3 linked regions of the Danio rerio genome follow. The protein of the gene in region 1 interacts with the protein of each later gene in a biochemical or structural test. Links are inferred from orthologs where the notes say so. Each region holds a gene or a part of one and is shown on either strand. Other genes may lie near its edges.

What was found. The genes of interacting proteins can lie anywhere in the genome.
Region 2: the proteins of ube2t (region 1) and uba6 form a complex in vitro, tested with the Homo sapiens proteins (2 studies listed by BioGRID, with this or other methods). The link is inferred for Danio rerio from reciprocal best matches to the Homo sapiens genes UBE2T and UBA6.
Region 3: of the proteins of ube2t (region 1) and uba1, one has a biochemical effect on the other in vitro, tested with the Homo sapiens proteins (4 studies listed by BioGRID, with this or other methods). The link is inferred for Danio rerio from reciprocal best matches to the Homo sapiens genes UBE2T and UBA1.

Annotation. Positions count from the first base shown.
Region 1 is NC_133198.1:5,229,825-5,234,118, reverse strand, and holds the start of ube2t (ubiquitin-conjugating enzyme E2 T), read right to left. Parts: upstream 2,811-4,294; 5' UTR 2,740-2,810; intron 2,639-2,739; 5' UTR 2,634-2,638; coding exon 2,525-2,633; intron 2,431-2,524; coding exon 2,361-2,430; intron 867-2,360; coding exon 761-866; intron 573-760; coding exon 474-572; intron 1-473. UniProt on the Homo sapiens protein: Accepts ubiquitin from the E1 complex and catalyzes its covalent attachment to other proteins. Catalyzes monoubiquitination. Involved in mitomycin-C (MMC)-induced DNA repair.
Region 2 is NC_133176.1:21,383,241-21,386,817, reverse strand, and holds part of uba6 (ubiquitin-like modifier-activating enzyme 6), read right to left. Parts: intron 3,472-3,577; coding exon 3,402-3,471; intron 2,347-3,401; coding exon 2,275-2,346; intron 1,150-2,274; coding exon 1,026-1,149; intron 930-1,025; coding exon 736-929; intron 649-735; coding exon 521-648; intron 427-520; coding exon 339-426; intron 1-338. UniProt on the Homo sapiens protein: Activates ubiquitin by first adenylating its C-terminal glycine residue with ATP, and thereafter linking this residue to the side chain of a cysteine residue in E1, yielding a ubiquitin-E1 thioester and free AMP.
Region 3 is NC_133198.1:23,558,900-23,562,476, reverse strand, and holds part of uba1 (ubiquitin-like modifier-activating enzyme 1), read right to left. Parts: coding exon 3,505-3,577; intron 3,400-3,504; coding exon 3,292-3,399; intron 3,180-3,291; coding exon 3,099-3,179; intron 2,001-3,098; coding exon 1,848-2,000; intron 1,732-1,847; coding exon 1,566-1,731; intron 1,486-1,565; coding exon 1,289-1,485; intron 1-1,288. UniProt on the Homo sapiens protein: Catalyzes the first step in ubiquitin conjugation to mark cellular proteins for degradation through the ubiquitin-proteasome system.

The sequences.
Region 1 (4,294 bases):
ATAATAATTCCAGAAGTTACAAACATGAAAAACTAAAGGCTGATTTATACTTCTGCCGCAAGCGCACGTGTATGCTACAGCGCGGTCTATGCACGGAGGCATAGCCCTCGCCATGGCCGTCGCTGACGAGCACCTCCCAAAAAAACGTAACTACATTTTAACTAACTGGAAAGTTTTGTTTTGTGTTTACCTCATGGTTAAAGTTGTTGCACGTCTGGCGGTTCCTGCCGCAAAATGAGCGAGTTTGAACCACTTGTACATTAAGGAAGCATTCAGAAAAAACAAAACACCAGCGAAGAAACTGGACACAGAGAAACAAACACCTCACTGCCAACTAGTGTTTCGGAAGTGTTATTGCAGAGCAACAGAAAAAAGTATGCACAGCTACGCACGTTGCATGCGCCGTAGGTCACGCTGATCACTTAACGCAGAAGTATAAACCAGGCTTTATGGGTAACTGAATTAAAACTCACTATATCAGCCATGAGAGGGTCGTCAGGGTTTGGTTCGGCCATCAATAACTGTATGGATGTGAGAACTGTTGAAATGTTAAGCGAGGGCCTCCAAGCTCCCTTTAAAAAACAATGCTTATAAATATCAGCATGTGACATGTCAGTAGTTTACAACCACAAGAGAGTTGCAAAAAGGTCTATCAAGTTAATACAACTAAAAATACCAAAATATTTCAAAACAGAATTCAAATTTTGAGTGGAAAAATACATATTATTGGTACATTATTGTTGCTGTTTTTAGCATCTACCTTTGGTGGCAGTTTCAGAGCGTCAAGACAAATGCGTCCTGCATTATCAATGTTGGGGTGATAAATGGGAGTCAGGAAACGCATTTTTGGAGGTTCAAATGGATACCTTAAAACAATGAACAAAAGTGTTAAGCAGGCATTTAAACCAAGTAATCATTTAAATTTATTTAAAAAAATCTTTAAAATGGCTTATTAGGAAAAAAATACTGATTTTTTCAATTGATCTCTGCTTTATTCAATCCAATTAATAAATCAAAAGCAGATTAATTCAGTAACAGCTTTACTCGGACACAAATCCAGATTTATAAGGAACCATTTTCAATGGTGAAATAGAGGAAAAAGACAACATTGTATCTAAAATGACTAAATACACAGTAACGTTATTGAACTACTGTTTGTACAATTATGCATGTGATGTTTCAGGAAAACGACACTCTTGCCAGAGTATTATGCCAAATGGATACAGGAATATTTACAGCACATTTTTGAAGTGAAATGCCTTTTTTTTTTTTTTTTTTTTTTTTTAAGACATGATAATACTCTGGTGTGCAATAATATTGATAACACATGATTCTAGCATGAATTTAAAGATTTTTTATATCAATTATATGATTATTGCTAGTTTAATTTCTAAATTGTCATAAAAAACAATCATGAACATGGGAATGTGCTATGGTCCACGGCAACTTCATGCCTAGCGTACGTACATTTCTTGTACAATATACAAAATATTCATAATCACCACTGTAAGTACATATATGTGATATGAAATACTTAAAAAAATGGTTGGGCTGTTATCATAATTGTACAAAAGCAAACACACTGAAAAAAAAAAAAAAAATCTGATAACCCATATGTGGCCCATTTGTGAGCTGTGTGTGTGTAAGCTGCCTAACCGGGGCCCACATTCAGCTCAACAAAATGCCCACTTTGAGCCCATGCCCACTTGACACCCACACGGCCCAAAAAATCCTATGTGGACATGTCGGCTGGGTTGTTATGATCAAATTTTTTAATGCACCCAGAAACACTGTTTTTCTTTTTTTTTTTTCTAAAACAATTATCATAGTGTAAAAATGTTATATTGTTACAACCTACCTGTACTGTTTAAAGCACTGCATTTTTTTAAAATCAAGTCTGAAATGGCACAACTTTGAAACAACATTAGTACCATTAAACTGACTGTGAACAATGCTGTGCTTTGATAGTCATTAGCATAGAGGTAAAGTTGGTTTTATATCCGCACATTCATTCATTTAGCAGTCTCTATATTGTTTACCATGTTGTTTTGAATATTGGATAGAAATTAGCATGCAAATATGACTTCTAAACAACATTAACACTACCTATTTCAATGTGAACAATGTTGTAATTTGATAGTCATTTGCTGCTAATATGATTTCCCCATTTACAATTTGCAAAGAATACTATTCTGAAACTATATTATTGAGGATAATGTCTGAATATCCAAATATAAAACCAACTTTACCTCTATGTCATTAGCTGCTAATATAATTTCCCCACTTAAAACGGGCAAATAATATTGTTCTAAAACTAAATTAAGAAGGTTTAAGTCCGAATGTGCAAACCAAATTCCCACCTCTCAGGTATGTTGATTTCCAATGTGAACACACCACCTTCATACGGAGTGTTTGCACCTCCAACAATTTCTATACTCCAAACACAAAGGTAAAGCAAGGGCGTCAGATTTGGATATAATATGTAGTTTCAGTAAGAGACGACAAAAGAGAAACAGAAACTGACGGGCTTGTAGTTCATCCAGGCGTCCCTCTGACTGCCAGCACGAGACTCCTGGAGGAGGTTCAGCGGTGAGGAGCTGCATCTCCCGCTTCAGACGACTGACTCTCTGCATGGCGACTATGCACATCAACACCACGCGATTATTAACAATTCAATAAGTACATTATTTTATTCAACACTGTATGAGGTCTTTAACTTAATATCGTATGTGTTATTACCGTCCAGCTTTGCTTGAAAATTCCGGCTGGCTGGTTGACTTGTGTGGTTTTGATTCTGCCCGCGAAATGTTAATACGTCATTGTGCGCCGGAGGTGCATCCAGATTCATCATGGGTGTTGTAGTTTTTTTTTTTTATGTATGTTTTGTACAGTGTCTCTTTTTTATTCTCTCTGTAGACACCGTGTATTCTTCGTACCTCGCTTAAACATTCGGCAGATCCTGGAATAACTTGACTGATAACTGATCGCTGGCTATATCTGTTTTTTTTTTGTTTGTTTGTTTGTTTTTAAACAATTTGCGAATAAGATTAAAATGTCTGGATGAACTGAGATCGCTGTGTGTTGCTCATGATTGTTTATAGACATTATAATGTCTGTTGTGATGAATCACAGGCTAATTTTTTATATAAAATTAATATAAAATATATACATAAAATATGTTGTAGCCTAAACTGTTTGTTAAAGTCCGCATGAACCGGAAGATGTGACCATTTATTTATTTATTTATTTTAATTTTTTTCCATAGTTTAGAGAAACTGAATATTAATTGACAAAACAGTAGCTGTGGCTTTTTTTATTTTTTATTTTTTGTTTGTTTTTTGTTTTGTTTTGGGGTTTTTTCTGCAAGCTGAATGGATGTAGTAAACTTTCATTTCTTTCAAAAAGATCGGTAAAAGGGTTTTGGGGAGAGTTAAACAACCTGTCACCTCCTCCTCAGCAACATGGTTAAATATGTTTGTGACGCCCAATTCTTGAAATGTATATAATCTAACAATTCAACACCCCCCCCCCCACCCCCCCAATAAATAAATAATAATAATAATAATAATAATAATAAAACAGGAAGTGCATTTTCAGATTTCCAATAAAGATTACAAGGACAAACATTTTTTTTCTCTTTTAATTACATGCACAGATGACTTGTTCACCACAATATTAGCAGCTAGATAACAAAATCATATTTTTGAATTGATGGGGACTTTAAATATGATACGCATAACTTTTCACATTTGCTGTGGGCCTACATTTTATTTGTTGAAATAGCAATTTATTTAGGTTTACATTTAGAGTGATTTCCCTTTATGTTAGTATTCAATTTTCCTGTAGCAGAAGACAAAACTGGCTAATAATATTGGCTGTGTCTATTACCATACACTCGCATTTGTAAAAAAAAAAAAAAAAAAAAAAAAAAACATATGGTAAAATTAGCCTAGGGCTACACAGTTTTTTTTTTTTACTTGTTAAAACTACTTTTTTAAATGAGCTGAAACAACACAAGTCCTGAGATTTCATTGGGACAACTTTTTTTTTTTTTTTGTATTGTTCAATTCACATTAATTTGTTAAAGTGTTAAGTTAACTTAATCAATTTGTGTTGGGAAAACATGAATGGATCGTGTGGAACCCTGCATTTTTTACAGTGTTTGGCTACATTTATAAAGCTTGGCAAAGTAAGCTTTAGGTTTGAATTTGAAATATCTCAATATGTTTATAAAATAGTTTAGTTCCCTGACTAACTTACTACAGGTAACTTATTTAAGACCAAATATTTATCA
Region 2 (3,577 bases), on another chromosome or scaffold:
ATTCATCTCTCATTCTCTCGCTGCAGATGTTCTGTTTAACTGTTTTCTTGCTAGTGAAATGCTCAGTTTTTCCACCTACAGTTACTTTACGCCATGTAAATGGCAAATGTGCTTATGGCGCAACGCAACTGGCTCTTAAAGGGAATGGGAGATGAGAGTCTGATTGGTTTATTCTCAAAACACACCTATAACTCATTAAGAAAATAAACTCAGCCCTTTTAGACAAAGTGGATTTTTCCGTCCTTATATTAGCAAATAGATTCTGACACGCCCTGAAAGCGTTTGCGCCCTGCGCTTTGTGCATGGATCGTCAAAATAGAGCCCTTAATGTTACTCACCCTTACGGCACTAATAAAATCAGATAAGGTGAAGTCCTCACGACCGAAGATGGTCCAACGATCCCAGATAGAAAATGAAATATCATCTCTGGTCAAAACAAAAAGATCCAATTACATGAAGCCAGGAATAGTGCATCTATTCATCCCTGAAAAGTATCTATGCACAAGCACTGATCTGTTACCTGATTTGGGTTCTCTTGACCTGAGCTGTTTCTGTAAGAACCACAACTGGAATGGCCAGGTTGAAGAAGCAGTTTTTAAACAACTCAAATCCATAACCGCCAGCAATTTTAATCAACTCCATCGACACCTAAAGGGAATGAATAATAAAGCAATCATATATCCACACAGCAATGCACTCAAATATTCACTGAAATCATTTAGTTTTTACTCTCACCAGTCCAGCGACAGCAGCTGTAGATGTAGCAATCGCAGGGATGATTTTGCCAGCTATTCGTTTGGTTTGTAGTCGGTCAGCGGCCTCAATGGCGTACATACGAGCTCGCAGGGCTGACGCTGATGCTACAAAATCCATGTGTCCATTTGTGTCATCGTCCTTTTCGAAGAACAGCGGACTCATACATAGTCTCTCTAAAGTAAGAGTAAAATGTGAGTACAAATGTGTGGAAGCTGAGCATCTTGATTTGTTATGAACTGTTTGTTATATGTTGTGTGCTATAAACACACCAGGTGTTACTAAGTTGGAGTTGATGGCCTCTTGTAGCTGTGAAATGGCTTCTCTTTCCTCCTCACTGCTCACTGTTATTTTCAACTGATCTGGCTTTTTAACAGTCTCGTCAGTCTCTATATGCTGAAATAAAAAACACACAAAAGTGATGAAATTCGGTAAAGCCACAGAAAATCACAAATATTTGGCTCTTGGATAGTTTACCAAAAATGTAAAAATTTACAGTTTTATTCACCAGATCTTTATGAAGTTATTTATTATTTATTATTATATTATTATTATATATTTATTATTTTATTATTTATGATTTTATTTTTTCAGTTAAACCTAAAAGATATTTTGAAGAATTTTGGAAATTGTTAACCACTGACTTCCATAGTAAGTAAAACAAATGCTATGGAAGTCAATGATTACTGGTTTCCAAGATTTTCAAAAATGACTTTGTTTGTGTTCAGCAGAAGAAAGAAACTCATCCAGCCCTATCATACTCCCGGCGCAATAAGGTGCACGTTGTGTATGGTGCGATTTGTTGCTAATTTCAGACCAGCGCAATAGTAATGTTCACGTTTTGCACCACGTTGCTTAAATAGCAAAATCCATTTGCATCACTTTGCTGACTCATGGGTGTTCCGGCCTATAAAGGAGGTTTGTTAAAACACATTGTTGGCGCATTGCTATTTTAAGGAACTAAAAAAGACCACGCCATTGACCAACTAAAAGCTGATCTAAATGTAATGCACCTATGCAGGTCCAAAAGCTTACACATTGCTTTATAAAAAAAAAAAAAAACACTACCTCCACGCCTCATCTTGGTGGACTTTTTAATTTTTGCATTGTCTAAGAGCTGATGAAATTAAAGATTAAAGGAATTAAAGGTAAACAAAAAAATTTTAAAACAGATAAAATCACGTTTAAAGTTCAACAAATTAAGTTAGCAATGCACAACAGGTCTGTCTTCAAAGAGTTTATTATTGTTAAAAATTAATTTCCCTAAAATAAAAATCAAGTTTTTCTTTGATCCAGAATCCAACTGTTACTCTTTATTAGAGGCAGGAATCCCAGTAAAACATTTAGAGCATTACGATTTTAATTCTATAAGCAGGTTTATGTGCCAAACTCTGTTTAAGTCACATCACTTTGACCTAAATGCAAAGTTAAATAATGTTGTTTTATTTTGATTGCTTTTATAAAGTTGTTGTGTTTAAGAATGAGTACAATCAGACATGCACAAAGTGAATGAACAGATACCTTTTCAGCTGGTTTGTATTCAGGAACATCCACTTCAGCTAAAACTCTGGAGACATCCTCGTAGGAAAGTTGCTATAAATGATTCAATAGAACATTATAAGACAAATAGCAACAAAACTTTACAAACAATTACTTCAAAAAGTAGGAGTGTGCAATATTGAAAATTATCTGGATTATTTGTTGAGTTTAAATTATTAAGTTAAACAATATTAGTTTTTTTAAATACTATTGTTTCTTGGCTGGTTTAAGCCTAACAGATCAAGAAATATCAATATAGTAGCAAGTCCCTGCATTAATGAGCTTAATTCTTATTCTGTCTTAATGAATAAATTCAAATGATTCATTCAAAATGGCTGATTCATTCAGAAAATAAGCATCTCTATGAATGTATCACTGAATCATTTGCTCATAATGTTAGTGAACAGCAAGATTCATTTCAACCTTTTAAGCTAAATGTAAAATAATTTTTTGTAAAATTGTTTTCTAAAATCATTATCACATTTGAGATCAAATTTAAAAAACTGATTTTCAAGATAGCGGCACTCTTGCATGGGTCATATTACTACTACATCATTCATTCATTCATTTTCTTTTCAGCTTAGTCCCTTTATTAATCAGGGGTTCCACAGTGATATGAACTGCCAACTTATCCAGCATATGTTTTATGCAGAGGATGCCCTTCCAGCTGCAACCAATCACTGGGAAACACCCATACACTCTCATTCACACACATACACTATGGACAATTTAGACTTCCCAAATTACCAATAGCACATGTCTTTGGACTTATGGGGGAAACCGGAGCACTCGGAGGAAACCCACAACGGGAACATGCTAACTCCACACTTTACTATATCATCTTTTATAAATATAAAAAACATAAACCCAAACCCAAGGGATATTTATGAGTTCAGTACAGGCTCATTTTAACATTCTGTATCATGCAGTGAACACTTTTGAGTGTTTTTAGTTTGTTTTCTGCAAATTAAACAACATACACAAAAATCTCAGCTCACACATTGTTTAGGCAACAATTATAATATTGCTGTAGACAATAAATATTGCACACCATGCACTTTTTCAGGCACCACACAAGTAGACAGCAGTTTGTGTAAATCATTGTTTACCTCTTCTGAGTATGGAATATTATAAATTCCAGCAAAAAGGCGAGCTGCGCTGACAACAAAACCAAAATGCCTGAAGGACAAAACAGAGATTTTTTCATAAGCTTTCACACATCACCTGATTCTTTGTTTTACTGCAGTAAAAATGAATGCTCACTTTAGCTATGAACAACGAACTA
Region 3 (3,577 bases), about 18 Mb from region 1:
TTGAAATATTCATACACGTTACTTTTCAAATGACCTTCATTTATACACTTTAATTTCAAATTTGACACATTTATCAAATCAATGCAGCTTTCTTCAGCAGAAAACTATTTCAACCAAAAATTAAATAAATATATAAAAAACTAAATAAAATTTAGATTAACATATAATTTAAATCGTGCTTAAAATCTAAAACCCTTAAATATTTAAATAATTAACTATATCATTCAAATATGTGATTTTGATTTATTATTACTTACACTTCCTACCTTTTCATTTATTACAAGTTGGTAATTTAACTTTTGGTTACATTTGTTTCACAGGTGCAGTTGTCATGTCTGCTTATTTTAGTGTCTTTTTAAGAGGTCAACTCACCCTCAAAGAAATAGTGCTCCAAAAAATGAAACATTTACTCACCCTCAAGTCGTTCCAAAACTTTACAATTTTCTTTGTTGAACACTAATGAAGATGCATTAAGGAAACCTGACTTTCCATAGTACAATTTCTTCCAAATACAAATACTATGAAAGTCAACAGTTGCAGGTTTCCACCCTTCTTCATATCTTTTCTTGTGTTCAACAAAAGACAAAAAGTCAAACAGGTTTGGAACAAGTGAAGGGTGAGAAAATGGAAAATGACAGGATTTTAATTTTTGATTGAATGATTCCTTTAAACAATGTCCTGAAGCACAAAAACTGGGCTGGTGAACCTTTCTAGAGAAATCTGGTGACATTGGTGTTAAGTCTGGGTAAGAGTTTATCAAAATTAATTAAGATGTATGACTTGTAATTCACCAGGAAAATAGTTCCAAGTTCATTTATTGCCACATCAGCAACTTGTGATTATTTCATGCCAAGACCAATATAGAAAAACATATTAAATAACTTAATTCAATAAGAGATTATACAAAAAACTAATATACATTTTTATACATTACATTAACTATTTTTATAAACATTACATTAAAAACAATCGACAAATAACTAAATGATCTCCATTAATTAATTCCAGTAATTAGAAATTTTTAATTATTATTTAACCCATGCCAGAAAAAGAATGAATTGGCATCAATGATTTGATCAGAATGACATTGGTTTTATGACACTGGAAAATGAAGAGATCACAGATAGAGTTTTTAGAAGTGATTACTGACAAATTGTAATTGGTAGTCAATCAATCAGAGCAACCCCAGTGTATACTTCAAAAAGACTGCCCATTTGGCAAAAAAAAAAAATTTCTAAATCGAGTTTGGGAATAAGGCTCAAGACAACATTTCAATATTGCTTGTCACCTGTAGGGTGTGTTCGATTGCATTTGGGAAGTTCTTGAGTGTGCAGATAGGAATGGACTTCTCTGGAGGATCCTGGCTGGAGCTGTAGGACTCTGTGATGAAGGGAATGACCACCTGCACGTTTCCTTTGGTGCCAAGAGTACCAGACTCCAGCAATGGCTTACGGTAGTACACACACCTCCGATCCATATACATACCTGGAAGGAGCAAACATGATGTTCAAGCAATGCATTTTCAACTGTGAGCAGCTGCACGATTTCTTAAAACTCTTACTTACGGGCATCTACATTGTCAAGAGCATTTGCCACTCCATCAAGGCATTCAAAAAAGTCATCATCATAGACCTTCTCCGTGTCCGGTCCCACACGGTTCTGGTGACCAGTGATACGGACTGACGGGTTCATCTGCTTCACTGCCGCAGCAGCAGTCTCACTCTTCATCTTCTGCTCGATAAAAGAAGAACAAAGCCATCAGCGATGTTATACAAAAGTAAGGCATTATAATCCTGTTTTTTCTCAAAATTCCTTCCTCAGTGTTAGAATGGGTCAGTCAATCGTACCGTGACATCCCAGGGTCTGAAGAGGAACTGTCGATTGAGATTGGACTTCTCAATGGTGTCCATGTCAGTGACTATGACCTCTCCTTCACCACTGGCCAAGCCCATCATAGCAAAGTTCTTCAGCAGCTCACAGCCAATGGCTCCAGCACCAACCTGAACACAGAAAGGGTCACTAAGGTGAACGCAACACATGCTAAAGCAGAGGTTTTTGTTCTTTTTTGTGTAAATGATACAACTACCTGTTGCTGAAGCATCAATTTCCTCTGCTTTAATATTTTAGTCTTAATTTGTCTAATTTTATATTTATTGACTTTTACAAATGGTTTTAATTTTTTATATTAATATTTCAGCTTATTGTCTAGCAAAAAAAAAAATAAAAATAAAGCTTTATTTTCGTAGTTTCAGTTTAACAATTAATTGTGGACTAAAGGCAAAAATAATCTAGCATGAACTATTTTTTTCAATATTGTTTGATGGTGAAAGATTACAAGTTTCTTTTAATATATAAATTAGGCTTTTACATTTTAAGATGCATCCTGAGGGATCAAGGTAGACTGCCTATATGTAAAAGACAGTATTGTTTCTCCAAAATAATGCATATTGTCAGTTCCAGGCAGGGCTGTGTCTTTTGTCTAACAAATGGCCTAGTGATGCTTTCAAGCAAGGCCCGGAAAACGATTTTGCTTTGAAGATATTGGAAAAATCCTCCTGGTTTGTCTCTTCTTCAAATTTACAACAGCGGCTTAAAATAACTAAAAGCGAGATGAAAAACAAATCTACAATGGTTTGAAAGCAAAACGTGGCTGATGTTATTGTCTGGCATTTTGTTCAGCACAAACCGTTTTGAATGAGCTTTTTTTTAAATGTCCAGTTTTAATTTTAAATATGCTTTATCCTTATCATACGTTATTTTTCTATAGTTTTCATACTTTCATCTGTAATTTTAGTATTTCAATTTAATATTTGCCAAAACATTTCAAATACTTTTTCCATAATATATATTTGTAATTTTTTCTAAGCCATTTAAAATGTAGTTTTTGACTGTATTAGTAAAAATTAAGCACTAAATAATTGAGGAATAAATGCATAAAAAAAGTTTGGATCAGCAAATACTTGCTTGTTTTGTTATAAACTATTCAAAGCTATTTGTTTGGTTCAATGTAACTTCAAGGTGACAAGGCATTGTGCAGTCCCTTATCTGGCATAGAGAAATCATTCAGTTTTGAAAAACAGCCAGTTTTAGATTCTCACCAGAAAATATCTCTGCTTGGCTAACAGCTCCTGCAGCTTGGACCCAAAGACGGCAATCTGGCCGTCATACCGGCAGTTCCTCTGTACAAAACAGATAACTGAATAAATTATTCTGTCTTAAACCCACAATCTTTTGAGCGAGCCATAACAATGCACAAATATTAAACAAATGCTAAAAATATAAAGCACTTACAGGAGCACACTCTTCCTCTGTAAGAATGACTTCCTCAGGCTCAGGTAAGCACTCCAAAGCATCAAAATACAGCCACTGCATGATGGGCATAAACTTCCCTGTGCAGGCCTGAGCAGATAAACAATAAAGAAGCATGATAGGTGAGGCTAACACATCACAATGCTGCATCTCACAGATCTAAAGTTCAAAGACAATAATGGAAGACCATATTACCTTCATAACCTCCTGGGCAGCAAGCCCACCAATAAAGGCATTGACGGGTGCCAGGTCTCCAGCAGCCACGCAG